Elephas maximus indicus: one gene and its partner. The protein of the gene in region 1 purifies or fractionates together with the protein of each later gene. This does not show direct contact. Links are inferred from orthologs where the notes say so. Each region holds a gene or a part of one and is shown in the gene's direction. Other genes may lie near its edges.

Region 1 (15,347 bases):
CATTCAACCTGTTTGCTGAGCAAATGATCCAAGAAGCTGGACTGTATGAAGAAGGACAGGCATCAGAACTGGAGGAAGACTCGTTTAACAACCTGTGTTATACAGATGACACAACCTTACTTGTTGAAAGTGAAGAGGACTTGAAGCACTTACTAATGAAGATCAAAGACCACAGGCTTCAGTATGGATTACACCTCAACATAAAGAAACAAAAATCCTCACAACTGCACCAATAAGCAACATCATGATAAATGGAGAAAATATCGAAGTTGTCAAGGATTTCATTTTACTTGGATCCACAATCAATACCCATGGAAGCAGCAGTCAAGAAGTCAAATGATGTGTTGCATTAGGCAAATCTGCTGCAAAAGACCTCTTTAAAGTGTTGAAAAGCAAAGATGTCAATCTGAGGACAAAGGTGCACCTGCCCCAAGCCAAAGTATTTTCAATAGCCTCATATACATGCAAGACTGGACAATGAATAACGCAGCTGGATGAAGAATTGATGCCTTTGAATTGTGGTATTGGCAAAGAATACTGAATATATCATGAACTGCCAGAAGAAAGAACAAATCTCTCTTAGAAGAAGTATAGCTGGAATATTCCTTAGAAGCAAAGATGGTGAGAATTTGTCTCACTTACCTTGGACGTGTTATCAGGAGGTACCAGTCCCTGGAGAAGGACATTATGCTAGGTAAAGTAGAGGGTCAGCAAAAAAGAGGGAGACCCTCAATGAGATGGATTGACACAGTGGCTTCAACAATGAGCTCAAGTATAACAACGATTGTGAGGATGGTGCAGGACCTGACAGTATTTCATTCTGTTGTACATAGGGCCACAAAGAGTTAGAGCCTACTCAACGGCACCTGACAACAATAACAGCAACATCTGGTACATCTAGATTTTCCAGAGAGAGCAAAGAAGATAGTCACATAGCTGACTTGGTTCATCATATGACACATTTCTTTAAATAAATAAAAAAAAAAATCTGTAGTACATATGAATGATATTTCCCTTTCATTGAGCTTTTCTATGTTTTAAGAGATAAACTTCTTTTCTCTTGGCAAATGTGCTTACTAATTAGTGAAACCTCTAATTAGTGGAGCATCTACTTTGTGTCGCACCCTGCTTTAGGTATTGTGAGTAAAACAAGTTAATGAGACATGTTCACTGTCATTAAGGATATTCTATAAGAGAAACATATATACCTTAAAGGTACACTAGTACAGGGAATATTAAAAAAATAAACCCACTCTAATTAGTTTTAGAGAAAACTAGAAACTATTAGGAGGATACAGGGGAATTTCGTGGAACTAAATGTAGAAAGGGCAGCCAGGTCTCACAAGTGACTGGAAACAAAAAATAGAAAGAATTGAAGAACTAAAGCTATCCCAATCATCCTCTCTCTTTTTCCCTCTCTTTCCACCAACATTTCTTTGATCTCTCATCTCCCTTTTCTATGAATAGCTGTAGATTGACTTTTTTTTATGCTCATGGGAGAAAATGGTTGCCTCAGTCAATATGAATTCCTAGTCTGTGTCACCAACAAAGACTCTGGAATCTCTATACCTTGAATACAAATTCCTAGGAAAGAAAATTGGTTGGTCCAGCTTGAGTCAGGTGTCTAACCATGCTACTAGGAGGCAAGATTACTTGACTCAAAGATGTCTAGAGAGAAATCATGGCAGACTCTGAAAAAGACCCACGGGCAGAGCAGGCAGATTGCTTTGCATGTTTGCCACATACACGAAAACAAATAAGGGACAGTCAACCCTGGTAGTGCTAGGATAGTTTGAATAAAATGCCGCAGGTGTGTTGATGAGAAAAAAAAAACCAGCTCCATATAGGGAGCTAGGAATATAGAATTATTTTATATTTGTGTATTTTTTTTTTTGTATTTTTCTTTCTCACTTGGAAGTGTCACTTTTATTTTTGTACATCAAGCAATTCAGCCAGTGCCTGGAGACCTGTAGGTCAATCAAGCACAATGGGCTCTGAGCCTCCCTCTGACTTGTCACGGACTCATGGGGTAACATTTCAATTTTTCCAGGACTTACATAGAATTTTACATTCACTGCCCTTTTTAGGCCTAGAGAAAAGAATATGGACACTTTAGGAAATTCTGTTCAATTTGGTAACTATTTGGCGCTTATTATTTGCCAGGCATAGAACTACTGTGATATAAATATTAAAAAGACACAGATAGGATTTAAGGGGTCTGGCATTTAAGCGGAAAGGTAAAGGATGCACATATAATTAAACTCAAGTCACACCGTAATACACACAACAAGAATATTATTTAAAAAATTAGGAAGTCAGGAAAGAGGAATAATTGGTTATGAATGAGGGGGGCAGGAAAGGCTGGGCAGATGATGTAAGTTTGACTAGAGTCTTCAAGTGGAATTTTAAGAAATGGAAAAATGGGGGAAAGCAATTCTAGCCAGAAAAAAATAGCTAGGGCACGAACGAGGAAGAATGAGAGAGGTACATCAGTGAATAGGTGAGTTTAGCATAAACATAGTGTCTTAGGCTGGGTTCTCTAAAGAAACAAAAGCAGTGAAGTATATATAGAGAGAGAGAGAAAGAGAGCGCTTTTCCACTGTCTCTTGTCGACTACAGATATAGTTGATTTGATTCCTGTGCATTCCATCTGGCAAGGTCCACATATATAAAAAAAAAAAAGTCACCATTTATGTTGGGGAAAAAAGGTATTTGCAATGAAGTCGTTGGTCTCGCACAGTTCTATCATGCAATCTCTGGCATCCTTTCTATCACCAAGGCTGCATTTTCCAACTACCAATTCTTCTTCTTTGTCGGAATACAAACTGAGATGCTTCAACAAACAGATGTAGCTCTGGAGGTGCTCATTCATCTATGCCAAGAAATTTGGAAGACAGCAGTCTGGCCAACTGACTGGAAGAGATCCATCTTAATGCCTATTCCCAAGAAAGGTGATCCAATCAAATGCAGAAATTATCAAACAATATCATTAATATCACAGGCAAGTAAAACAATGCTGAAGATCATTCAAAAATGGCTGCAGCAGTGTATTGAGAGAGAACTGCCAAAAATTCAAGCCAGATTCAGAAGAGGACCTGGAACCAGGGATATCTTTGCTGGTGTCAGATGGATCCTGGCTGAAAGCAGAGAATACCAGAAAGATGTTTACCTTTGTTTTATTGACTATGGAAAGGCATTTGACTGTGTGGATCATAACAAATCATGGATAACATTAAGAAGAATGGGAACGCTTAATTGTGCTCACGAGGAACCTGTACATAGATCAAGAGCCAGTTGTTCCTACAGAACAAGGTTATACTGCATGGTTTAAAGTCAGGAAAGATGTGTGTCATGGTTGTATCCTTTCACCATATCTATTCAATCTTTATGCTGCACAATAGTCTGAGAAGCTGGACTATATGAAAAAGAATGGGACGTCAGGGTTGGAGAAAGACTCATTAACAACCTGCAATATGCAGATGATACAACCTTGCTTGCTGAAAGTGAAGATAACTTGAAGCACTTACTGATGAAGATCAAAGACCACAGTCTTCAGTATGAACTACACCTCAACATAAGGAAAACAAAAATTCTCACAACTGGACCAATAAGTAACATCATGATAAACAGAGAAAAGATTGAAGTTGTCAAGGGTTTCATTTTACTTGGATCCACAATCAATGCCAAGGAAGCAGCAGTCAAGAAATCAAACAATGCATTGGATTGGGCAAATCTGCTGCAAAAGACCTCTTTAAAGTGTTGAAAGGTAAAAATGTCACCTTGAAGACTAAGGTGCTCTTGACCCAAGCCATGGTGTTTTCAATCACCTCATATGCATGCGAAAGCTGGACACTGAATAAGGAAGAACAAAGAAGAGTTGATATCTTTGAATTGTGGTGTTGGTGAAGAATATTGAATATCCATGGACTGCCAAAAGAACGAACAAATCTGTCTTGGAAGAAGTACAACCAGAATGCTCATGATATCAGGAGGGATCAGTCCTTGGAGAAAGATCTCATGCTTGGTAAAGTACAGCGTCAGTGATAAAAGGAAGGCCCTCAAGGAGATGGATTGACACAGTGGCTACAACAATCGGCTCAAGTGTTACAACACTTGTGAGGATGGCACAGGACCAGGCAGTGTTTAGTTCTGTTGTACATAGGGTTGCTATGAGTCGGAACTGACTCGACAGCTCCTAACGACAAGAAGAGAGAGAGGGTTTATATCAAGGAAATAGCTCATGCTGTTGTGGAGACTGGGAAATCCCAAGTCCTGGGTCAAGCTGGAGACTTCTGACTGACACAGCTGCAGGGGCTGGTGAACCCAAGATTGACAGGTAAGCTGCTAGCTCAAGTCCGAAGAACTAAAGGTCAGATGCAGGATCCCGAGTGAGCAAAAGCCAGAGAGCTTTGCCAGAAAGTCCACATATATTGGATGCAGGCTACAATCCCAGGGAAACTTCCTTTCAATTGATTGGCTGCTTATAGTAGATCTCATCACAGAGGTGATTACATTATATCAGATCTCATTATAGAGGTAATTACATCATTACAAAGCTGCTGAGCTACCTCATAACTGCCAATCCACTGAGAATCATGGCCTAGCCAAGCTGCTACACAACCTTAACCATCACGAATAGTGTGCAAGAGGGAGGGATGGTGAGAGATGAGACTGCAAAGGTGGGTTGGGGTCCAACTGAGAGCTTGAAAAGCTAAGGTGCTTGGTATTTATCCTGTAGACATCAAAAGATTTTCTACAGCTCAGTTCTGCATTTGAGAAGGATAGCTGTGATGCCAGTGTAAAGGGTAGATTGGAGAAGGGAGAGGAAGGAGCATGGAGATTTTATCCAGGGGACTGTCATAATGGCAAAAGATCAAAAGATCCTGAACTAAAAAGAGTAGCAAGAGAATGGAAAATAGGAGATGGTGCAGATAGCTCTGGTAGAGGAAAATAGAATTGATGTGATGTGGTGGCAGAGTGGCATGATGGTGGCCACAAGGGAGAGAAGCAAAGATGTCTGGTGGAGAGCAGCTAACAACAACAACGTACATGAAAATGAGATGACCAAAAAAGAGCAGGGCATGAGGATAAGAGAGCTCAGAAGGGAGCCTTGGAGAAAAACTCACATGATCCTCCTCCCCCAACAAAACTCCTGCCTAGAGGTAAGAGAAGGAAGAGTAGAAAGAACACAGGCTGCACTCTGTCCCTTGGTGGCTCTCAGAGTATGGTCCCTGGGTGTCTCCAAGACCTTTTTAGGCTAACATGTAGTGGGTTTATTATTGTTATTTAAGAATGAATTAATACAGAGATATTTGAAAAAATTCTCTATTTTAATGTCTTGAATAGTAAACATTGATAGATACATGAACAAAATTGTTTGGGTTCCTCAAAAATTTTAAGCATATAAAGGGATCCTGAGAATAAAGAGTTCGAGAAGCCTTGCTTTAGCTTTCCTTATTGCCTCTTCAGAATGTGCTGTCTAGCACAATTACACATAGGCAGGGTATTTCTTAAGAAAACTACAGCAGGGGTTCTCAAACTCTTTGGTCTTAGGAACCTTAGCACTCTTAAAAATTAATGTGAAAGAGGAGTTTGTGCTTTATTTCTTGGAATGTTTGCCTGTTCTGGAAAATATAGCTCCTGATTTATTCTGCACCCCATGCCAGCATAACATTAATTTGTCCCATTCTGAGCACAGAAGCAAAGCCGGGTGAATTTTCCTCTCCAGCGCCCAGAGACAAAGCACAAATTCCTGCCTCACATTAAGGGAACTATCCTGCCTCCCAAGCAAGAGACTGTTCCAAACACTTACTCACATTTCAGTGAGTCAGAAGGAAACAGACAGATATTCATCTCCCTGAAACCTGGCTGACTTCCTGCAAGAAGTCTGTGGAGAGAGTCAAGGTTGTGTGTCAGGGTTTGTGGGCGGTCACCTAAAAGCTCTCAGGTGATATCGGAGTCTTAGTAAGCAGGTGAATATCACAGACAACTCAGGAAAAAATGCCTTCAGGTGTTTGTCAGGATTAGTAAGTAATTACTAAGTGACAGATAAGAAAACAGGAAAGAACCTGGGGCTGCACATTTTGGGGTTCAAAGGAGTGGAGCTTACATTCATGCCTATAAGCAGTAGTGTCTGATAAATACTAATTTAATATTTAAAAAATACAAGATGCCAGCCCTAGTTACGATTAAGAGGACTGTTCTATTTTTACCAATTAACTCATTTTTTAAGCTTTTCCTTTCTGAACTATTCAGCTTCCTTTGGAAGTTTCCCAGGCATCCTCTTCTCCTAATAGTGGGTGCTCCATAAAACCTGCATTGACAATAGTAATGATTAAACTAACAACTCTAATTTATTAAAACTTTTGAATACTTCACAAAAGTGGTCCCTGGAAGAATTCTGGTTTCCCCAATTTGCTGGGAATTTGTGGGTGAACTTTCAGAAGAATAATCATATTTAGAGAAGAAAAGTGCATATCCCATTTCTTAGGTTTGTAAGTAAAAAATCTGAGATGTGGCTATAGAACGTTCTCTTTGATTACACTGTCTTATAAGCAAAGAGGAAGAACCACGAGTTCATATTTTTAAGAAAATCGCTTAAACTCAATTATCAAATCAGCTCCTTATTTATCTCAGGGAGAGGAATGAATGAGGATTTATAAGCCACACACATACAAACACACTGCGCACTTGCAGAAGGTCTAGCTTAAACACCACCTCCGATAATCATAACTTGGGTACAGATCTTCTTTCCTGATGAGTTAGTTTCTAACCTGGTCATTCTGTGCTTATTTTTGTCTGTTTCTCCACCCACTTTGGAAGCACAGAGAAAGCCATGCACTGAGCAGCAACTAAGAACTGCCTTGGGTACTTGCGGATCCCCAGCCCCTCCGGTGCCAGCCAGGAGCCTGGAACAGCGATGGGTTGCTGCGGGGCCAGGACTCTCCTGAGAGACCCGAAGAGCCTCCAGCGAGGTGCATCACTCTGTCAGGGGGCGGGATAGTAACAGGGCTGGTTCTCGCCATCACATGTGCCTGGCCAGTTCTGTCCAGGAAAGGCTGCCCCGCGCGCGGTCTCCATCCCCACCCACCTGCTTCCTGGATCCCAGGGCTGTACAAAGTCAGGCAGTTAAGATACGGCTGCCGGGGGTTTGGAGGGACAAGGTGCAGCCCGCTGGTCCGGAGGGTGGGGGATCCTCGGGGCGGGGCGGGGCAGATCCGGTGTTTGCCCAGGCGGGAGGGCTGGCCGGGGCGGGCCGGGGCGGGCCTTCGAGCCCCAGGAGCTGCCTGCAACTTTTTCCTGCTCTCACCCTGGCCGGGAAAGTCCTCCGCACGGCTTCTGGAGGGTCTCGGGGTTCTTGTATCCCTCGACTAAGGCGACCCTCTGCAAGCCCAGCTCACCTACAGTCCCCAGGGCCGAGCGGCATGCGACCAGGACGCGCGGAGAGCGAGCTGCTGCGGCTGCGGCTGCGGCTGGTACTAATGTTCAGTCAAGGTAAGCGCGAAGGCTCGCTGGGCATCCGCTGCAAGGAGTGTGGAGGAGAGGGGGGATGTGAAGAAGGGATTATGGGGCGCAGGGAATCAAGCAGAGTAGCCTCCGTTCTGATCCACGTGGAACCAGGCTCACACCCGTCCCGAGCCAGCTGGAGAGACGCCCATTCTTGCTTGCACTGGATCCAAAGTCTCCTCAAAGAGCTCTTTAGTTTTACACACATGCGCGCACACGCACACACCTGGAGGAAGTGGGGGTCATGGGGTGTCCTGGAGACCGCGAGTCCTGCACCCCAACTTTCCCGGGCTTTGGACAGGTGCAGCGCTTGACCAGGACTGGAGGTTGTGGGTCCCCGGGGTTCCAGTCTGGTCGGCCCCTTCATTCCATAGTTTCCCAGAGCTATGCCAGGTGGCTTGCCAGGAAGACTGGGAGCTCAACACGCTTATTTTCCGAGGTCTTTCCCAAAGGAATGAATAATCTCCCAGTTTTTACTTCAGGACGCAGTGCTGCTGTTTGCTCCCACAGGGGACTTAGAAAATCCAAGCGCCACTTAACCACTTGGCAGAGGAGAATTCTTCCTTCCCTTCTGCCTTCCTCTTATTGTTGTAACGTTGTCTGTTCAAGGAATGTAAACTTGGGAAAGGAAAAGTTCTTTCCACTTTCTTGAGCACAGACGCTGCAGCAAGAGGGGGAAGGGCCAACTACCCAGAGCAGAAGTTTCAACTGCCTGTGGTGGGAGTGGGGCCCACCTGCCGCCTGAGTTCTTTTGCACTAAGTGGAAAAATGAGACTGAGTGTTGAGCTGCTGTGCAGACCTTCCACAGTACTTTCTCCAAGACATTCACCTGGAGCCTAATGTGCACTTGGAGCGCCGGTGGCTTAGTGGTTAAGAGCGCCACTGCTAAATGTTGGCTGTTAGAATCCACCAGCCGCTCCTTAAAAACTCTGTGAGGCAGTTCTACTTTGTCCCATAGGGTTGCTATGAGTCTCAGTGGACTGATGGCAAAGGTTTTCTCTTTTTTTTAGTTTGTACTTAAGTTTTAGAATTTTAGTTTACTTGCCGGGGGCGGAGGGGCGGGGGCAGGGCCACATTTGTATCTTGCAGTTTGGAAGAAGTACAACCAGAACGCTCCTTAGAAGGGAGGATGGTGAGGCTTCTCTCAGGTACTTTAGACATGTTATTAGGAGGAACCAGTCTCTGGAGAAGGACATCATGCCTGGAAAAGTAGAGGGTCAGGGAAAGAGAGGAAGACCCTCAGTGAGAAGGATTGACACAATGGCTGCAACAATGAGTTCAAATATAGCAACTATTGTGAGGATGGCCAGGTCAGGGCAGTGTGTCTTCTGTTGTACATACCAGTCCCTGTGAGTAGCAACCTCCTCCACAGCACCAGATAACAACAGCAACAGTTTGAACATATACCTAAAAAAAAAAAAAAAAAAAGTTTTCTGTTTTTGCAAGTTCTGTAAATATTTACCAAGAATATAAATATTTCCTAATCCGTTCTCCTTTGAGGCTGACATTCAGCAGGCACTATCTTTATTGTGGAAGAAAACCCAGTTCAGGTCCTGTGACATTTTCTCTAGGTCAGAAATATGAAGAAATATGACACACAGCCCTAGCAGAGAATGGAACCTGTTCATTAGGTTTTCTGGCCCACCACGTTTGGTGTTTCACAGATACACTTTCCTGGGACTACATTCCATATGCGTGTGGTTGGGAGTTTATATGCAAATATACCTGCATGAATCCTTTGGTTATTCTTGGACAATGTTCGTATTAAAGTTTGGTTTTGTTATTCTTGAATTTAGCATCTTCATTATTCTCTCTTTTTTTCTCTCTGTTCATGCACGATTACCTGGTTATTTAGCCAGATTTCTTTAATGAGTCGTGTGCAGATGAGAAGCAATGGAAGAACTGAGTCAAAGGCAGGATGGCAAGGGATGAAAACCAGGCAACCAGAAAAAAATAAGATGACAGGTTCTCACTGTTCCCTGGGTTATGATCTATAGAAAATCACACTGAGATTATATAGGCCTGAAGGTTAAATTTGACATTTTACGTACCCAAATGTCAATTTCTATGTTACTCAGTTTTATTGAAGGGCAGTGTGTTGAGATGGCTTTCAGGAGAAGATGGAGAGAATCTCTCTGATGGAACCGACTCTGGTCTTCTCCTAAACACTAGAAGAAGTACATATAGGAGTTTTTTTTTTTTTTTTTTTTCTGAGGGGGGGATAGGGGAGGGCATTAACGCCAACCTAGGGATTTTGGATAAAGTTGGATTTTACGTTGAAAACCAGTCCCTGGAAGATCACAACCTTCCCAAGGGCAAATAGAAATATAAATCCAAGCTTTTCATCTCCCTTTAATTACCCAGTATTAGGAGAAGCCATGGAAACATAACATCATTTTCTTATCTTTGAAGTGTTGAGGCTTGTTCCTTAAAGAGCACTGAGAAATGCTTGAGTGGAAAGTGTTGCTGCAAGGCATGAAGTCAGGTAGAGAGACTTGAAGCTAGAGTGAGTTATGAAGGACAGCTCAAGGCACGCAAGCAGAGCTGATTTAAAATGATGTCTGTACAAATATTTTGTGTCTTTATTTCCTCCTTCTCCTCCAGGTATTTGTATACTCAAAGAACAGACTTTCTCTTCATTTTAAGATGACCACAATAAAGGTTTGTGACTTATGACATCAATCAAGGTCTTAGGGCAGCAGCATCATTTTTTTTTATGACATGATCATTCAAGGGTAACATAAATAATTGATATCTTTTATGGTATAACCCTAAAACTGAAATTTTTTATGGTATAACCCTAAAACCAAACCAAACCCGTTGCCATTGAGTTGATTGCGATTCATAGCGGACTGTATAGAACAGAGTAGAACTGCCCCATAGAGCTCCCAAGGAGCAGTTGGTGGATTCAAACTGCTGATCTTTTGGTTAGCAGCTGAGCTCTTAACCCAGGTGCCACCAGGACTCTGGTATAATCCTATCTGTATAATATTTATGAGCATTCATCATCCCTGTACACAAACACAGAAACTATAAACCCAAACCAAACCCACTGCCGTTGAGTCGATTCCGACTCATAGCGACCCTATAGGGCAGAGTAGAACTGCCGCATAGAGTTTCCAAGGAGCACCTGGTGGATTTGAACTGCTGACCTCTTGGTTAGCAGCCATAGCACTTAACCCCTACACCACCAGAGTTTCCTGCATAAACTATGTATAATTTACATGTATAATTGCATAATATAAACCCATACCAAAAACTAAAATTTAAAGGGTGTATGTGCATGTGTTTATACATGTTGCATTCTCTTCAGCCTGCATGCAAACCACCTTAGAAGCACATAACCCTCAAATTTTATTTTAGCACTTAGATTCAAATCTGTTTTCCATCAGCTTTCTTGCAGGTGTTTGTGAAAATGCGGCGCTCATAATTTAGTTCATCATTTATCATCTTTCATTGATTATTCTTGTTTTAAATGCTGACAATCACTGAAATGGTAACCGGGCAGGTTGAAGTTGGAAAAGAGAGACCATAAGAGGCCTGTTGTTGTCATTAGGTGCCATCGAGTCGATTCCTACCTCTAGCGACCCTGTAGGACAGAGTAGAACTGCCCCATAGGGTTTCCAAGGAGCTGCTGGTGAATTTGAATTGCCAACCTTTTGATTAGCAGCCGAGCTCTTAACTACTAGGCCGCCAGGGCTCTGTAAGAGGCCTAAATGAACTGTAAACAAAATAATAGCTGCATAGAGCAAAGGTAAATGTAATTTTAAAATACATGAAGTTACTTATATTCTCCAGTGTTTTTGGCAGGCCAAGGATAATCCTACCTGGGTTCTGGATCTCATTTTTTTTTTTTTCCCTATCTTTGGTACTCTATCAGCTATCTCCTCTTTGGTGTATAGCTTCAAATTCTCTCTCTAGTGTAAGTTTCTCTCATCATGTAAATATTTTAATTTCTCTTGTATATATGTATTTTTAAAAAGGCCTTTTTAATTTGGAAACTCTTTCCTTCTGAAACACCCCCACCCCTTGCTTCTGTTCTTTCTCAGTTGTCCTACTTTCCTGACTGTTCTGTCTCCTTCACAGGCTCATCTGATTGGCCTTTTCCTAGTTGGTGTTTGTAGAAACCCATGTTGGGTCGTCTTATTCATTCCACTGATTCTCTCTGGGCCTGTCCCCCTCTCAAGTTTGTACCTCCATCCAAACTCCTCTCTTGGGTCCCAGATCAGTATTTCCATCTGCTACCAAATATCTCCACCTAGATGTCTTATAAGCACCTCCAACTCAACAATTTAAACACTGAATTTAACACCTGTCCACTGAAAGTGTCTCCTAAATGGTCTTCTATTGTTTAATGGCAGTATCATCATGTAAATGTCAAGCTGGGACTGTGTCTCTTCTTTTCAGTTTCACAGCCAATCTCCAAATTCTATGCCTTCTGTTCCCCAACCTATGCATTTCTGCTACCACACAGCTCAGTCCCGCAGTTTTTTGTGTCTGCATCATCACCATTTTTAAACTGGTTTTTCTGTTTTCAGTTGCATACCTCTCTAGCTCATTCTTCTCACTGTCACTGATGTTATCTTTCTAAAGCACTTATCTGTATCCAATTACTTCCTTGTTTCAAATGTTTGATGGCTCCCATCTCCTGTAAACTCCAAATTTCTTGGCATGTTACAAAAACTCCTTTGCCATCTGGCCACAGTCTGCCTATTCAGGCCCTTCTCTGTCACACCCACTTCACATGCACACATGCACATACCACACAAACATACATATGTACATACCACATCCCAAAGCCATACATAAAACCAATCTATGTTTTGACTATGCTTGATCATATCATATTTAATGTTCAAAGATTTTCCAGGCCATTCCCTTTATCTTCACTGCCTTGATGTTTTGTTTTTTCCCTTCTCTGCATTTCAGTAAACAGTAATGAATATTAGAATCATGACCTTCCAATGGTCTTGCCTAAGAGGATCTTTAGGTTTCACTGATCAGCCCAGCTTTGTATAGAGACAAGATGCCAGTTATGCTGGGGAATATGTGTGTGTTGGGTGGTGAGCGTTGGGGAAGAGGAGAAAAAGACAGAAAGAAAGCAATAAGAAGAGCAGAGTCAGGACTTCAAGTTTATTATATCGCATACAAAACATACATGTTCAGGTTTTCGCCTGAACCCAGGTAGCACGTTTAGAAGACTAATCCATCCGTTTCCAACCAACCATTGTCCATTGTTAGAGGAAACAAGCCCAGGCAAAATTATAAAGTAGGGAAGTTTTCCTTTTGTAACAAAAGGGGAAGCTTGAGGTAACCTCTCATTTCTGGAACTCTTCATAAACCACTTCTGGCTTCTCACCCTCAGCCCTCAATGGGCTCAGGTGAAATTATGACAAGGTAACCCCCTCCCCCCATGGCTTTCCAGCTGCACCTGTCCAACTTCAGCTAAGCTTTGCTCTCTTTAATACTAGTTAACAAGACGCTATTTGAGTTAAATTCATTGAATAGGGCTCAGGATTTAGCATTTAAAAACAGTTGCTCAGGAAGTTTTGAATACAGCAAGGTTTGGAAGTACTTGCTTAAATATGCTCACTGTCCCCGCCCCCTTTCCTCACAAATGAAAATTCCAGAGTTTCCAGTACTACCTTGTTGTGAGATGACGACCAAGACAGGTAGATTTCAACACCAAGAGTCCGTGAATGGGTTATTTTAAATGAATTAAGTCTGAAGTGGGTGATGACTGCTCCCACTTTAATGTGCTAACAGCTCTGGGCATTTTAAAGGGGAGAAGCTTGGTAATGTTAAGGGGATGAACTTCTAATGATGGCATTTAAGACATTCAGCAAATTAAAGACACACTCAGTGTGTTAAAAACAAAGAATTTCGGGAAGAATGGGGAAGATATTTGGAATCAAAAGTATCATCCTGGCATCATCTAAATGCTACTACTAAAGTGACAGGGCCCAGACTACCAGACCTGCTTAGCTTGGAATATTATTGAAAGATTTAGCCCGGCATAAAAGAGGAGGAACCTTGCAAAGTTGTCACTCAAATCAGCAAGTCAAAGGTGTGGAGGTTTTTGTTTTGTTAGTTATATGGTGACCAGTGATTTACCTGGAAGAACATAGAGAAGAATTTTGATACCACAAATCCTGAGACAATAATAGATTTGGTATGTGAAAGTGAGTTCCGTGCCCTTTCTGATGATCCGTAGGTACTAGTGCTTTGTTGAGCTGGCTACAGTGAACTCCACAAAACTAGTATTTATCATATCCTTAAAAAAAAAAAAAAAAAAAATTTTTTTTTTTTTTATAAAGCATTTACTTTATGTAAGGGGATGTGCTAGACCCATTGTACAATCAGAACAAAACATCGTTCAAAGGTTGTCATATATTTGGAAACAAGTCCAAACACGAGAATGAAAATTGTCTAAGCCCTGGAGGATACCTAACCAATTTCAGTCCCTGCCTTTCTGTCAGAACTCCAATTACTTAGTTAACACCTTTGGCACAGCTAGGAGATCAGGGGGAAGGTGAGAGGTGGACCATGATTGGTCTGAGCCTATCACAGAGGTCCTGTGCTTCTTGCCGGTGTGTGATTTAGATACAGGATGTAACGCAGTTTTAGCCAGTGAGATTCAGGGGAGATCTTCTGGGAGAATTCTGGGAAAGGAATTTTCATTCCTAAGAGAGACACTGGTTAAGAAACATTGTCAGGTCTAGATGTGAAGCTTGGAAGAGCTACAGCATCTTGCAACCATGTTGTCAGCTAACTTGAGTATAAAGCCAATGTATTGGGGACGGCCTAGTGAAAAGATGGAAAGAAAGTTAGTCTTTGATGTTGACTTTAGGCTACTAAATTATTGAAATTTAAACCCTTTGTACCTCTGGGTGTCTGTATAGTTTAAGACATAGTTAAGCTGTGTTTCAGAACTTAGAGATGTAATTTAAGTTCCTGTAACATGATATATGTCATGTAAACCAGTACCAGTTGCTGTCAAGTTGATTTTGACTCAGAGCAACCCCATACGTGTCAGAGCAGGACTGTGCTCCACAGGGTTAGATGTCTGTGGTCTTTCAGAAGTAGGTCACCAGGCCTTTCTTCTGAGATTCCTCTGGATGGACTAGAGCTGCTAACCTTTCAGTTCGTAGCCAAATGCTTAACTGTTTGGGCCACTAATTGCTAGATGAGTTGTACAGAACTAAGTGTTGAGTTCAGAGGACAGATAAATATCACTATGGCACATCAAAGTGTGAAGATTGTGGGGAGGATAAAGGATCATGACAATTCAGATCTGGTCTGTAGGACTTCACAGGTCACTGAGTCCATTCCTCTCCTTTTAAAATGGCTGTGACTGATAATATGGTAAAACAAGATAGAAAATAACATAACTAGGAGTAGGACCCAAGTCTCTTAGTTCCTGGGTCAGGAGTTTTAGGATTGGAAATGAAATTTATCATGATGAAAGCAGAAGGTCATTATGCCCAGAACATCCTGCTCAAAGTGTTTGTGGCAAAAATGAAAACGGATAAGTGAACAGGCACCAGACCATAAAGGGCCTTGTAAAGCATGGTAAGGAGTGTGGATTTTATCCTGAAGACAGTGGAAGGTTTTGAAGGCCCTTAAGAAGGGGAGTGACATGATCAGATTTGCCCCTTTGGCATGTCAACTTTGGTGGCAGGAAGGAGGGTGGAGTGAATGGAGTCCAGACTGAAGGCAAAAAGACCATTTAGGAAAGAGCTGCTTTTAGTGTTAGTTTTTGTTTAGTATGCCAGTTGAGAGATGGTTGTGATAAAAACTCAGATAGTGGTAGTAGTGAAAGAGATAAGAAGACAGGTTTG
Region 2 (15,223 bases), on another chromosome or scaffold:
CACGTACTTCTACCCACGGACATATTTCCTGCACACTCAAAGTCCCTAGCAAGATAAGTCCCCAGGCACCTGCTATAGTGAATAAGTATCCTTGTGTTTTCGTCTTCTCTTTGTGGTCCAGTCTCTTTAGTCCCTCTCTTTGCCTGGGGTCGTCTTCCAAATAAGCTGCCTGCACACAAGTCCTCGTCTGAGGTTCTGCTTTGGGAAAGAACCCAGACTAAAACAACAACCTATTGCCGTATCCTCGCCTGGACCTTTTTTTCATCCAGGACTGCATGTCTCTGAAATTTTAAACTCTAGAAGGTCTTAGTCTCCAACTCCTTTCACTCTTTTGTTTACAGCATCTCCTCTTCTCTCACCTGCCCATCGTGACCACTAGTCCTTTGAAATTTCCTCTTTTTGGTTACTTTTTTTAGCACCATGTCTTTGCCCTCCCTTTCTTCCTCCTGCACCTGCCCTGCAAAGCAGTAGATTCCTGCCCTGATTTCAAAGTGGAGCCTGAGGCACTCTCAACTATTGGAGCATTTCTGCAAGATTTTTCTTTTTTAATTTGCACCTTCATGTTGATGATGAAATGTAAAGAAACGTGTATTATCTGGTTGTTGGTCACATACGCGAGTAGTTAGAGTTTTAACGCCTGTGTTTGTACCTAATTTGTAATTTAATTTTGGTTTTTTGATCTTCAAGAGCCATGAGCACAAGGCATTTTATGTCTAGCCTTAAGTTGGCTTTGTATATGCTTAATATAATTTGAAATTATCACTAGATAAGTTATCTACAGTAACTTCTGTCTTAAAGAGCATTTGCACATTAATTCTGAAAACTTCTTTGGAGTTCTGAATAATGTAAGAGAAAACATAATTTAATATAGTTCAGCAAAAACTTTTGAACATCTTCTTTGTGTCAAGAACTTCTAGGTACTGTAGCCAGGTTTGTCCTCTTGGAGCCTAGAACCCATCAGGGAAGATAATAAACATAGTTACAAGTGAGGTGAGTGTTACAGCAGTGCCTCTGTTAAGGATCCAGTACCTGCCTGGGGGTCGTCATTGTTCTATAATCCTGTCGCATCTCACGCGTGGACTCTAAGGTTTTTGCAGACGCCCCCGCCTTAGGGAAAAGATGCTCACCTCCTATTCAGGCTGCACACCCCTTTTACTCTGAATGCCAATTCCCTGTTTGCTCTGAGGAGGCCTGGCTTTATCAGTTACATTCTGTCTTCCCTGTGTCTTTACCTCTTCAAGTCTGTCCTTAGCTCTCTTGCCTTCTCTTACAAAATGTTCTTTTCCTCACAACCTCATCCATTTTCATAAATTCATTACCACCTATGTAATGAAAACCTCCCTGCATGTCTGTAATTCTAACCGTGGCCTGTCCCTTGAGATCCAGACCCATAGGTCTTAACTTCCCAGTAGGTATCTTCCCTAGATTTCACACAGACATTTTATACTCGACATTTCTAAAATGAAACTCATCATTCTCCTCCCTGTGTGTTCCCTATTTGACAGTGATGGTTGGTCTAGGTTCCTTTCTTTCTCTCACCCTCCCTATCCAAAGCGACCATCAGATCCCACATTCCTTGTTGGTTGCTGTTGAGTCAGCTCTGACTCACGGTGACTGTGTACATCAGAACAAAACACTGCCTGGGCCTGTGTCATCGTCACGGTCTTTGGTATGTTTGATTCCATTATGGTGGCTGCTGGGCCTATCTCATTGGAGGTTTCCTTCATTTTTTTTGGCCCTCCACTTCATCACAAATGCCATCCTTTTCCTAGCAATTGGCTTTTCCTGATGACGTGTCCAAAGTAAGCAAGCCAAAATCTTGCCAACCTCGCTTCTAAGGAACATTCTGGTTGTATTTCTTCTAAGACTGATTTGTTTGTTCTTTTGGCATTCCACGGTATGTTCTGTATTCTTGACCAACACTACAACTCAAACAGATTTTTCTTCTCTGTTTTCATTGTCGACACCCACATGCATTTAAGGCGATTGAAAAGCCCACGGCTTGGGTTAGCTGTAGATCAGTCATCACAGTGACGTCTTTGCTTTTTAATACTTTAAAGAAATCTTTTGCAGCAGATTTGCCCAATGCAATATGTCATTTCATTTCTTGACTTTTACCTCCATGGATGTTGACTGTTGATCCAAGTAGCATGAAATCATGACAACTTCAGTTTCTTCTCCGTTGATCATGATGCTCTTTATTGGTCCTCTCATGAGAATTTTTCATTTTCTTCACGTTCAGTACTGAAGGCTGTATGTAGTCTTTGATCCTCATCAGTAAGTGCTTCAAGTCGTCTTCATTTTTGGCAGGCATAGTTTTGTCATCCACATATCGCAGGTTGTTAACGAGTCTTCCTCCAACCCTGATACTGTACCGTTTTTCATATAGTTTGGCTTTGTGGATTCTTTGTCTAGAGCACAGAATAAGTATGATGAAAGGATACATGTCTGCCGCATACCTTTTCTAATTTTGAACCACACAGTATCCCCTTGTTCTGTTTGACTGCTTCTTGATCCATGTACAAATTTTGCATGAGCACAAGTGTTCTGAAATTCCTATTCTTTCAATGTTATCCATAATTTGTTATGATCCACACAGTTGAATGTCATCATGTAGTCAATAAAACACAGTTAAACATCTTTCTCATATTCTCTGCTTTCGGCCAAGATCTGTTCGACATCGGCAGTGATATCTCTCTTTTCATGTCCTCTTCTGAATCTGGCTTGAACTTTTGCCAGTTGCCCGTCAGTGTACAGCTACAGTTGTTTATGAATTATCGTCAGCCAAATTTTCTAGCATGTGCTGTTAATAATATTGTCTAATAATTTCTGCATTTCGTTTGATTGCCTTTCTTTGAATCTCTTCCAGTCCATAGGCCAGGGTAGGTGTCTTTCAGATTTCTTGACATAGACAACTAAGCACCTCCAGTGTTGCATTTGTTTGTTGAAGCATCTCAACTGGTATTCCGTCAATTCCTGGAGCTTTGTTTTTTGCTCATGCCTTCAGTGCAGCTTAAACTTCTTCCTTCAGGACCGGTGGTTCTTGATCATATGCTACCTCCTGAAATGGTTGAATATGTACCATTTCTTTTCGGTACAGTGACTCTGTGTTCCTTCCATCTTCTTTTGGTGCTTCCTGCATCGTTCAGTTTATACCTGTAGACTCCCTCAGTATTGCAACTCGAGCCTTGGATTTTCTCTTCAATTTTTTCAACTTGAAAAATGCCGATTTCGTTCTTGCCTTTTGGTTGTCCAACCAAGCCTTTACATATTTTGTCATAGTATTTTAATTTGTAAATTATTGTAACCCACATTTCTGTCTCTTAAATACTTGTCTTCTTGTCCATTGCCAGTATGTGAATTCCGGTGCTTGTCACCTCTTACTTGAACCTTTGCAGTAAATTCTGTACCTGTTCCCTAGCTTCTGTCTTGCCACCCTTCCTCTACAGCAGTAGGTATTCTGCCCTGTATATGCAGTCATGTGATTACCCTGCCTGAAGTTTTTCAAAGTCTTAACTCTTCAGCATGGATGGCATTTAAGGCTCTCTGTAACCTAACCCCTCTCCCTGCTAATCTCAGTTCTTGTGATTTTCAATTCAAGTACTTTTAAGATTCTTTAGTCTTTTAGTATTCTAAAATACTCTGTTATGCTAGAAAATTATCAGGGTGAAATACTCCTATTTACAATCCCACCAATCAGATATAACTACAAATAATATTAAAAAAATTTTTTTTCTACTCTTTTTCTTCTGCAAAGAAAGAAGGCAAGAGAGAGAATTCCGATTTGGGGTGGCAGCACCCAGACATACCTGTTTAGGAATAAGATTAGAAAGAAGTTCCTATAGTTCTTCTCCGGATTCCTTGGCTTTGCATATGCACACCTTTTGCCTGGAGTAGCTTCTCACCACCTGGCTTCCTGCCAGGCGTGTCCTACTTCTCTTCGCTTCTAGTTGAAACACCACCATTTCCATCAAGCCTTTGAAGACTCCCAGGCAGGTTTAGGTGTCCTCAGTGCACTTTGTCCATACCTTCATCTCGGAAGCTGTCACATCCTATTGTAATTACTTGTATGTTTGTCTTTGAACTGAACTGAAAGTTCTTGAAGCAGGGATCTTTGTTTTTCCAGATCTGGCACAAAACCTGACAAAGTAGACTGAGGAAGAACTTCCAGAGAGATGGGGGGCCGGGGAGGGAGGGACGGGTAGAACCTAAGGGAATAGAGTATGTGAAGAAAGAATGATGAATAGTATTAAATGTCTTGTGTAAATCCTGTGGGTGGATGTATTCCAAGTATATTGTAGGCAGTCAAGAAACTTTTGAAGAAGGGAGTAAATGCAGAGCTTGAGATAAAGCCTGGAAAGTGTTCATTTGCAAGAACAGGTTCACATGCATGGTAGAGATTGGACACCAATTATAGATGGTGAAGGAGTGAGTAGGAGGTTAGGAAGTGGAGACAACCAATGTAGGCAACTATTTCCAGACCTTTGGTTATAAAGAGGAGAGGAAAGACAGGACTAGGACAATAGCAGGAAAGGCGTCTCTCCCTCTTGCCCCTCAAGATGAGCTGTTGTTGAGAAGCGCCATTTGTGGGAACTCCTTAGGGCATAGTTTCTCAGCGTAGGAACTGCCAGGAGTGCTAGAAGTGCAGGACTCCAGGCCGCACCTGCAGGGATTGTGATTTTTTAGGTCTGAGGTGGGCTTCCTTCCCGGGTAAATCTGATGCAGTTATTCCTTAGACCACACTTCCAGAAGTGCCTCCTTAGGCGCTTTCGAAATAAGGAGGCTGTTACCGCCTGCTTCTTCTTCCACTTCCTCACGCAGGTGCAGGAGGAATATTCAGTATCTTCGCAGATTACCAGGATCCGTTAGGGGAGGCTGTTTTGTCGTCTTAGTCATTTCTTTTTTACCATCCGGCTGTCTGCTGCTTGCTTCCCTCATGGCCACTTCTGTGGTGTCCTCCAAGCCTCATTGTCCCATGGTTCTTCTTTGTTCCTAATTACCGTCTTCTGTGGCTTCTCCATTTCCCTGAGAGAAAGTCCGGCCTTTTATAGACAACACCAGCCAGTGACAATGCCTCTCTGTTTCTGGCCAGTGAGCTGACCAAAGTAGAGAGTTGAACTCTTAAGCTGTTCCCAGCTGTTTTCCATGTTACTCTCAGCTGTTCTTCACCGCGAAGGCCTTTTCTTGCTGCTTCTGGGTTTGGAGCTCTTCCAGAGGCATGAGCATTTCACAGAGCCCATCTTCAACTTGCCAAAGCTTATAGAAGGAAAAGGGCAATGGCATTTAAAGCAACGTTTTAAAGCTAGATAGCTTCAGAGTATTTGAAAACTTTATTTTAGTGGTAATTCTCTAAATTGTATGACATTGTGAAGGGTTTTTTAAGGCAGGTTAGTTTCATTAAAGTAGCCTGAATAGTATCCTAAAGAAGCATGCATCAGCCCATACATGGAGCAGATGTTTGTTCTGTTCACTTTGTGTGGAAGCTGTTCAGATGCTGCATTCATCACGGTGATGCCTTTCCTCAGCGTTCCATGTCTTTTTAGTCCTTTCAGTCAGAGCTTTGGAATTGAAAACATCTGAATTGCCTAGAATTATAGTCCACATGGATTTATTGCATCTTAAACCTTTTAGGCAGGCCTTAAAAGGTTAATAGCTAGGTATTTCTCACTTTTGTGACACTCAGCTTTTGTTGGTCTCTTGGATGGAGTCACCACTGAAATGTAAGCAAAATTGTCAGCTTGTGGCTTAACAGGACTGGCTGATCTGCTCAGGATTGCAAAGTGGATGACTATGCGAGTCATTCTTGTGCCCTGGAAACCAGCATTTAACAGAGGAAAGCAAGTACCCCAGGGGTGCCCTGAAGCACAACTTAAAGGACTGTGGCTGTGGAACTAGCATCCTGGTATTTGTGCCCCTGAGATGGAGGCCTTTAAAAGAAATACTCATTTTTTAAATTAAGGTAGAATTCAGTTAACTTCTTCTTGCTAAGGGAAGTTTACCAAGAAAAAAAGAGTACCACACAGGCCATAATTATTTACATTGAGAAAGCAAAGAGAAGAAAAAAAGAAAATTAAAAACAAGAAAAACACTTTGCGTATACATTTTATGTATATAGGAAACTCTGGTGGCACAGTGGTTAAGAGTTTGACTGCTAACCAGAAGGTCCACAGTTTGAATCAACCATCCGCTCCTTGGAAACTATATGGGGCAGCTCTACTCTGTCCTATAGGGTTGCTGTGAGTTGGTATTGACTGGATGGCAGTGGGTTTGGTTTTTTTTTTATAATTCTTTGTCATTCTCAGGTCTCCGTGGTTGCAGTATATGTTTGTATACTTTTGTTTTTACATAGCTGTCATCATAATGTGTACTTTACATCCAGAATTATTATTTTAATGATGCTGCGTTTTATTACTTTTATGATTGCCTAATAGTTCATCAGGCTGATACACTTAGCTGTTCCCCTGTTACTGGGTATAGGATGTTTCCATTTCTTCCTGTTGTAAATATACCATATAGTACTACATTGAACATTCGTGTGTCTGTGGGTGTATGTGTATATCTCCTTTTGTATTTTTATAAATCGTATTTTATTGTGTTTTTGTGAAGGTTTACACAGCAGTTTGGGTTCCCATCCAACAATTTCTACACATGTTGTTCAGTGACATTGGTTACATTCTTCACAGTGCGTGAACATTCTCATTATATTTCCATTCTGGTGGTTCTGTTTCCATTAGTCTAGTTTCCCTGCCCTTTTACACTCTCATCTTTGTTTTAAAGTAGTTGTTGACCGTTTGGTCTCATACAGGTGAGTTTTTTAAAGGAGCATATTACTTACGGGTGATATTCACTATTTTTTGAGCCAATCTGTTACTTAGCTACAAGGTGACCTCAGAGGTTAGTTTCGGTTCAGGGTTTGAAGAGTATCTCTGGGCAGTAGTCTCAAGGAGTCCTCCAGTCTCGACCAGTCTAAAAAGCCTGTTTTTTGTTTTTTAATTATCTTTTGTATTTTAAATTATTTCCTCAGTAGCTGGATTGCTAAGTCATGGGGTAGAAACATTTTTTATAGTTTTTGATATAGGTTGTTGAATTATTTCCCCCCAAATTATATGTTTACAAAGCTGCCAGCCATGCATATTGATTTTTCTCAGCCTTCTCTGCAGTGATGGTTTTAATGGGTAAAAAAAACATTTTTTCCAGCAGTTTATCTTTTATTGCTTTGTTTTATATTTCTTTGGTAACTAGTAAAGCTAAAATTTTACCCTTTGCTATCCCACACATACACATACACATATACCTATATATATATATATGTGCTTCTTTCTTGTATTTTTTTCTTGTGGGAGGGACAGATATTTATGACAAATTCTCAGGCTGGCTGCTAGTCCCAGTGCAGTAGTCAGATGATAGCCACAGTTTCAGCAACCAGGGGCTAGAGCCGTCTCTGACCAAATCTCCTAAAGCATAGCTTATTGACATTGTGAACTCTTGAATTCACAGAAAAGAGTTGTGTACGTAATGGTTGGGCATTCTGCTTGATAGAATATTCTGATTATTACTATTATAGATTACACCATTTTCAAATATTCAGAATCAAATATAAATCACTAAATCAAAACTATATAGACTTATTAATTTTTCTTTAGAGATTCTGAAAGGGACTCGATACATTCAGGGTCCTTTTATGAACTTTTCGTGGGTCTAGTTTGTGGATCTAGAAAATGTAGGGACTTGAACCGAATCTTTGACTAATTAATTCCATGCACAGAAGTTGATTTTTCTTAAAGAAAGCCATCAAATTCAAAAATTGAGTCAGGGCCTTGTGTAGGATGTTGGTCTTAACGCTGCTGAACGCTATACGTTGTACCATATATATGACCCATATATACACACACACACACATATATGTGTACCTATGTATGTGTGTGTATATGTGTGTATATATGTATAGTGTAGTGCACACTATAAACACTGATAAACCCCGTTGTTACAAGCAGGAGGATGACATGATGGAGTTTTTGAAAAGTTCACTCAAGCTGGCACTCAGCCTTGGAGCGACTGAGGAGTCTGGATATGCCTGTCTGGCTCCCTGGGAGCTGCAGGAGATAATAGAGATTATCTGGGACGAGACCTTGGATGGCGTTTATGGTGTTAGGGAATACTTGACACTATTATTCTTTCGGAGTGTGGCTAATAAAATGTTAAAACATATTTGACTGGAGAGAGGCAGGAACGGAGCCCAGAGACTTATGGAAGTTATTTTAGTTGTGTAGGTAACAGGTAGGGTAGTGGGCTGGGCGGGGGAGGTGGGTGATGAGGTTGTGGAGGGGTGCTGGAGAAGAAGGTATTGAGAGAGATTATATTTATAAAATCAACAGGCAGGGTGGCTGGGAACATTTTGTATTTAATGTATCTTGTTTTATTAATGATGTGCATTTTGTATTTCAGATGAATTTACAACTGATTTTCTGGATTGGACTGATTAGCTCAATTTGCTATGTGTTTAGCCAAACAGGTAAAAAAAAAAAAAAATGTTTCATAGCTGTGTTTTCAGTATCCTGTCTCATTCTTTGACCAAGTATATTCCAGGGAAAACCTAGGTCAGATCATGCTGCTCCTTCTGAAAGCCCTACACTGGCCCCATCGCACTCAGAGTAAAACGCAGAGTCCTTAAAATGGCATACAAGGTCCTGCACGGCCTGGCTCCGCCAGCAACTGCTGCCACCCGGTCTCTCACCTTATTTCTCATTCTCTCCTGGGCTTTTCTTATTTTCTCCTGGGCTTTCCTTGCTTTCGCTCAGAGGCACCAGGCATCCTTTTGCTTAGAGCCTTGGCCTTGGGTGTCTCTTCAGCCTGAAGCGGTGATCTCTCAGATATCTGTATGATTCTGTCCCTCCTTCAGCTCATGACTCAAATGTTAGCTTCTCAATCAGGCCTTCCCTGGCGATCGTATTTATAGTCGATTGCCCCTCCCCATACTTCCCTTTCCCTGCTTTGTTTTTTCTCCTTACCATTTATCTCTTTCTAACATGCAGTGTGTCTTATTTATCTTGTTTATTTGTCTGTCTCCCCTGCTAGACTGTAAGCTCCACGAGGGTAGAGACTTCTGTTAGTTTTCTTTACTGCTGTATCCTCAGTGCTTGGAATAATGTCTGGCACATAAAAAGGCTTCAAATAAATATGTGTTGAGTGAAAGAAGGATTCTACCAGTGTCCCCAGACAGTGATCATCACCCCTTTAAAGTTGCTCTGACCCACCCATTCTGGGGAGTAGGTCTGGATCAGCTTGGTAACTAGGCTTGTAGGCTTCATACTCGATAATCATATATGGTGCATTGTTTGTCCTTGCGATCCTGATTTTTCATTATTTTCTCTCTTGAAGCTTCAAGTAAAGGTGTCTGTTATTTCTTTTCCTGACAGATGAAAATAGATGTTTAAAAGCAAATGCAAAATCATGTGGAGAATGTATACAAGCAGGGCCAAATTGTGGATGGTGTACAAATTTAGTAAGTAAGATTGTTTGAGTCTTTACTATGTTTTCTCTAGTAATTTAGTACGTCCTTGGGACGTAGCAGATAGGAATTTTCATTTAAAACAATCTTTAATGAATAAGTGTTATCTGTGTGTAAAGTATAAGGCTCTGGTGGTACAGTGATTAAGCCCTTAGCTGCTGAGAAGTTGGTGGTTCAAACCTACCAGCTACTCTGCAGGAGAAAGATGTGGTAGGCGGCTTCCGTAAAGATGACAGCTTTGGAAGCCCTGTGGGCAGTTCTTCTGTGTCCTATAGGGTCACCATGAGTCGGGGTCAACTCGACAGCAATGGGTTTTTTTAACGTGTGAAAGACTGTGGTGGTCTAGAGCTGTGTGTTGAGCCTGGCAGCCACCAGTCACATGTGTCTAGTGAGCACTTGAAGTGTGGATGGTCTACACTAAGAATGTTGTAAGGCTCAAATACATACCAGATTTCGAAGACTTAGTATAAAAATGCTCACTAAATTTTGTTAAGGTGATTACGTGTTGAAATGATAATACTTTAGATCCATTATTAAAGTGAATTTCCCTTGTTTCTTTTTAGTGTGACTACTAGAAAATTTTACATTAACTTCTGTGGCTTGTCCATTTGGTTGGCATTATATTTTTATTGGACTGCTTCCCGTAAAACACTAGGCCTTTAGGTTTAGACTGCTATAGATTTTTCTCCTTTTTTGAGGGGGGAAGGTACAAATGAACTTGCACAATTATATTTGATGTAAACTAACACAGAATTGATTGTATCCTAATATAAACTCAGTGACGGTAGGGTTTGAATTTTATTCACTGTTATTCTCTAAATAACTAAGCCTTTGATGCTTTGAGGCATAATTTTTAAATTATTGAATGCTATTTTGGAGTATGTTTAGTGGAATTTTATTTAGGTGTTGATTATAATCTTAAAGTTTCCTGTATTGGCACATATTTGGGAATGTGTAATTTACTAGTTTCCTTTGGTGTAGTATCTTAGGTTTGATGATAGCGTGGGTTTGAACCATCTGGCCCTTGGTTTTCCTTTCCATTTATTTCTCTAATTTCATATGTGCTCTTATCAGTGTTTGTTTCCCTTAAAAAAAAAATTTTTTTTTAATTTAAATATACTTACTTTATACAGCACTGTGAAACTGGTAGGTAATAAACACCATGTTTGACTGAACACAATGTGATCCCAAATAAATGGCAATCCTCCATTTCCCCCAAGTCAACATTAGAAAAAGTTTTTGGCCTACTAAATAAATAATTTTTAGGGATATATGTGACATAGTTGTCAAATGTCTACTTATAATAATTTATTGATAATACTTTTATGATTTATATTTACATATTTTAAAATGACATACATGTATACACACATAAATACTAATGTCATTTTTTTCCCACTCTCGAATTTCATGATAACGTTTTATTTAAAACCTTTACGTATGTCTTTTACATCTGTGCTTTTGTTTTCATGAAGGTACTTTTTGAGTCATCTGATAACGTTTTTGCTTTTATCTCAGTTTGAAGTAGAGCACGTTTTGAATTCCTGTCATTACTGAAATTCTGCCTCCAAGCCATAAGTATCCATTCACTTGTATACCATTAAGACTTTTTTTTTTTTAAAATCACCCTGTGGAAATATGTTCACGACCCTTGCCTTATAATTATTTGGCTCTATTGCTTTTCAAAATAAATCTTAAAATGCTTGTTTATGGTAATAGGCAATGCTATTCCAGGAGAATACTTACTGAAATAAAATCTGTATTACATTTTTTGGTTTCCTTTTAAAAATACCATCATTAGTAATGTGCTTTCAGGCTAAAGTGTTTTCCGTACACATTGGCTTGTTCATAATATTGTAAATAAAGAGTGCAATATGAGAGACTTTATAAGGATTTTTCAAAGGGACATTTTGGGAAAAATATTAATATTTGGGCATATAATTAGTGGCCATTGACTATGTTGAATAAGTGATTTCACTGGAGAATTTCATTTGATAGATATTTTTAATTAGAAGGTAGACAGTTAAAATGTACACTTAGGTCAGTCCTGGAATGCTGTTACTTTCTAGGAAAGAATCTTGTTTGTTTTTAAACAAGAGTACTCATTATGGTTTGGATGTCGGGGTATTTGTTTAATAACAAGAAATGAGGTACATTAGATGCACCCGGTGTTGTTCTGTTTTGAAATTATGGTTATGTAAATCTTTGACCATTACACTTTTTTAATTTATACCTGTATTTTTTATGTCATTTAGACATTTTTACAAGAGGGAATGCCTACCTCTGCCCGATGTGATGATTTAGAAGCCTTAAAAAAGAAGGGTTGCCATCCAGATGACATAGAAAATCCCAGAGGCTCCAAAAATATAAAGAAAAATAAAAATGTAACAAATCGTAGCAAAGGAACAGCAGAGAAGCTCCAGCCAGAAGATATTACTCAGATCCAGCCACAGCAGTTGGTTTTGCAGCTACGATCAGGTACAGAAGTCTAGCCCTATGAATACTTTCATTTCTCCTTGAGTTTTTTCATCCGAACTTTATGTTAGCCTCTTCTCATTTTCATACGTGTGCTGGCACCCTAAAACATCGAGCAGGTTACATTTTAGACATTTTTTGCAGATATAACAATGTGTGTTGTGTCTGTTTGGAATAATATTAAATATTGCCTAATGTCCAGAGGGCATCCTGGTGGTACAGTGCTTAAGAGCTTGGCTGCTAACCAAAAGGTTGACCGTTCAAATCCACTAGCTGTTTCTTGGAAACTCTATGGGGCAGTTCTTCTGTATCCTGTAGGGTTGCTATGAGCTGTAATCGGCTCCATGGCGATGGTGTTTTTTTTTTTTTTTGGTGATGTCCAGAGGGAACCCTGGTGGTGCTGTAGGTCACTGTGAGTTGGAATTGACTTGCCAGCAGCAAATTTGGTTTTTAGTTGTCCAAAATCAATTCTGTCACAGGTTCAGAAAGTAATTAATTAGATTTAATGACTTTTAAAAATAACTTGAAAGTGTCCATCCTCTGGTATTTTATATTCACTTAATATAAAATGAAGACAATGTTTTAATAAAGTCTTCTACTTTATATTTGTTTAGTATTGTTAAAATATTAAGGTTTTTATAAGTATCTGTGGCAGTCTCTCATCTTTATAAAAAGAGAAAAAAAAAAAATTCTTTCTGTCCTTTGTAGTTGCCACCGTCTCCCTTTCTCTTTGTGTTCCAGCTCCTCAGGAGAATGGTGTGCTCTCTTTGTCTTCATGTCATCACTTCCCATCCATTCTTCAGCCTGTTGTAGTCATGCTTCGCTCTGTCTTAGGGTTCTCTAGAGAAATAGAACCAGTGACACATATAGATGTATGGTAGATAGATATATCTATATTTATATGTATACCTATATATATATAAAGGAATTAGCTCATGTGATTATGGTGGTAGGAGGGCTGGCAGCCCAAACCTATAGTCAGGCGGCAGCAGGCTGGAGGTTACTCCAGTCTTCTTTTCCAAAATCCATCGGTCAGGGGATGGGAAGAGTAAAGAGTGGAAGAGCTCTGGCACTATGTCTCTTTATAGCCTGGAGGCAGAATACACCCTGGGGAGATGTCCTGTTTCGCTCCTGAGACCTTCATCTGATTGGATGAAGTCCACCACCATTATAAGGGCCATCGACTTTACTTGTGGCCAGCTGATTTAATCCCATGACGAGTGTTTGACCAAACAACTGAGCAGCATAACCTGGCCAAGCTGACACGCAAAATTAACCATCACATTCTTCTAAACCTGTCCTGGCAAAGCTCTGCCATCACTTTGGGACCACCAATCTAGTAGACCCTTATTAAGGTCTTTTTCTCCTAACCTTGGTGTACCAAGTGACTCTCTGAACTTTTTGAATGCTTTTCTCTTGGCTTCCATGATACCACTTTCAGTTTTTCTTCTTATCTCACCTTTGCTTTCCGGCCTCCTTTGTGTGTCTTTTTTTATTCCCTCATTTCTGTAGTCCATTTTAATGTTGGTTTTTCTACATGGCTTTAAAAACAGTTTTTGTATTGATGACTCACAGATCTTTATCAGTAGCACAGACTTTGCTCCTAAGCACCAAACCTATTTATCAGCTGCCTACCAGAAATCTGTAAAGAGAAAAACGACAGGTTGAAATTTAGTCATTTTCTACCCAAAACTTCTCTTTCTCTTGTTATTTCCTGAGTTATCCCTAACATCTCCGTGTCTTTTCTCTCCTCTCCTTCCTCATTGTTTCAGTTCACATCTACATCTTCCTCTGGAATTTTTGCTGTAGTTTCGTAGCTGTTTCTGTATCTGTAATACGTTTCCAGAACTTTTTGCCCAGTTTTCTAAAGTAAAAAAATGTCATGTTAATTTGCTTACATAAAGTGACTTCACATTACAGGTGTACCTGATATGTACCCGGCTTTGCCCCCACTCTCCCCCCCTCTGATTTATGGGGTTCAGTCTGTTTGTGTTCCTCTCTCGTGTTCACATTGTTTATTGTCCTGCCTGCTGTGGACTGGGGATGCTGTCTTTTTCACCTTGTATCCCCAGAGTCTAGCATGACAAGTACTTGTTAAATGAAGTTGAATGGGCCTATTAGAGTTATGAATGGAGTTCCCAGTTTTTTGTTAAAAATATGGCATTCAATACATGTGTTTGTGTTTACCATGTAAATCTAGTCATTTGGTTTTTCTCATTTGTTTTTGATTGTTGACAAGGTATCTCTGTTTAAATTAGGTGAGCCACAGACGTTTACATTAAAATTCAAGCGAGCTGAAGACTACCCCATTGATCTCTACTACCTCATGGACCTCTCCTACTCCATGAAGGATGATTTGGAGAACGTGAAAAGTCTGGGGACAGATCTGATGAATGAAATGAAGAGGATTACTTCAGACTTCAGAATTGGTAGGAATGTTGGGAAAATTAATAATTTGCATATGTTTAAGGCTTGGTAGTTCTCAAAACCTTTTGATGTTTTTTCCCCTTGGTTCTTCACAACATACTTGTGAGGTAACTAGGCCAGTGTTTAGCCTTTTCTTTCTGTGAGGAAGTTGATATTTCCGTCACACAGCTTGAATCATTCTGCCTCCTGGTCGTTTGTTCCATCTGTCATACTGTCGTACTTGAGACAGGTTATACCATAGAGATAATGAAATGCATGCTTGTTTTCCTGGGAATTTATTTATGTGTTTGTTGGTTTATTTTATAAACGCATGTTAAGCAACAGCGTTCTATTTCACTGCTCATTGACAGGATCACACTACCTGTACAACCTGATCTCACTCTAGAGCTCGATCTTTCATTTTATATGCTCTTCTTTTCAAACCTTATTTTCCACATTTTATGCATCTTTAACTTAACCTCTTTTCTGACTTCTTTTCCATTCCTGGGCCAACAGAGGTTCAAAAACAGACTACTAGAAAAATTTGACATACTTTTTGAGGACCAAAAACTGCATTTCAAAAATTCGTTCTATTTCAGTGGGAACATTAACAAACAGAATCTCACTTGTTTAAAATGCTTTTTTATTCAGTGGAATAAAGCACAATGGAAGTAGGAAGCTCTTACTAAGTTAGTCCTTTTGAAGTGCTCAGAATCCCAGAATATACATTCATTCACTCATTCGTTTAACAGGCAGTTATTGAGAGCTAGTATGGTAGGAAAGGAATGTGAGTTATTTTTAAAGTGGATAGATGAAAGTAAAAGATTGACTTAC

Evidence for each region.
Region 2: the proteins of ITGA2 (region 1) and ITGB1 purify together in Homo sapiens (co-immunoprecipitation; 3 studies listed by BioGRID and IntAct, with this or other methods). This does not show direct contact. The link is inferred for Elephas maximus indicus from reciprocal best matches to the Homo sapiens genes ITGA2 and ITGB1.

The regions. Positions count from the first base shown.
Region 1 is NC_064820.1:55,934,349-55,949,695, forward strand, and holds the start of ITGA2 (integrin alpha-2), read left to right. Parts: upstream 1-7,270; 5' UTR 7,271-7,424; coding exon 7,425-7,494; intron 7,495-15,347. UniProt on the Homo sapiens protein: Integrin alpha-2/beta-1 is a receptor for laminin, collagen, collagen C-propeptides, fibronectin and E-cadherin. It recognizes the proline-hydroxylated sequence G-F-P-G-E-R in collagen.
Region 2 is NC_064822.1:6,449,113-6,464,335, reverse strand, and holds the start of ITGB1 (integrin beta-1), read left to right. Parts: upstream 1-8,445; coding exon 8,446-8,512; intron 8,513-9,416; coding exon 9,417-9,502; intron 9,503-11,763; coding exon 11,764-11,986; intron 11,987-14,241; coding exon 14,242-14,412; intron 14,413-15,223.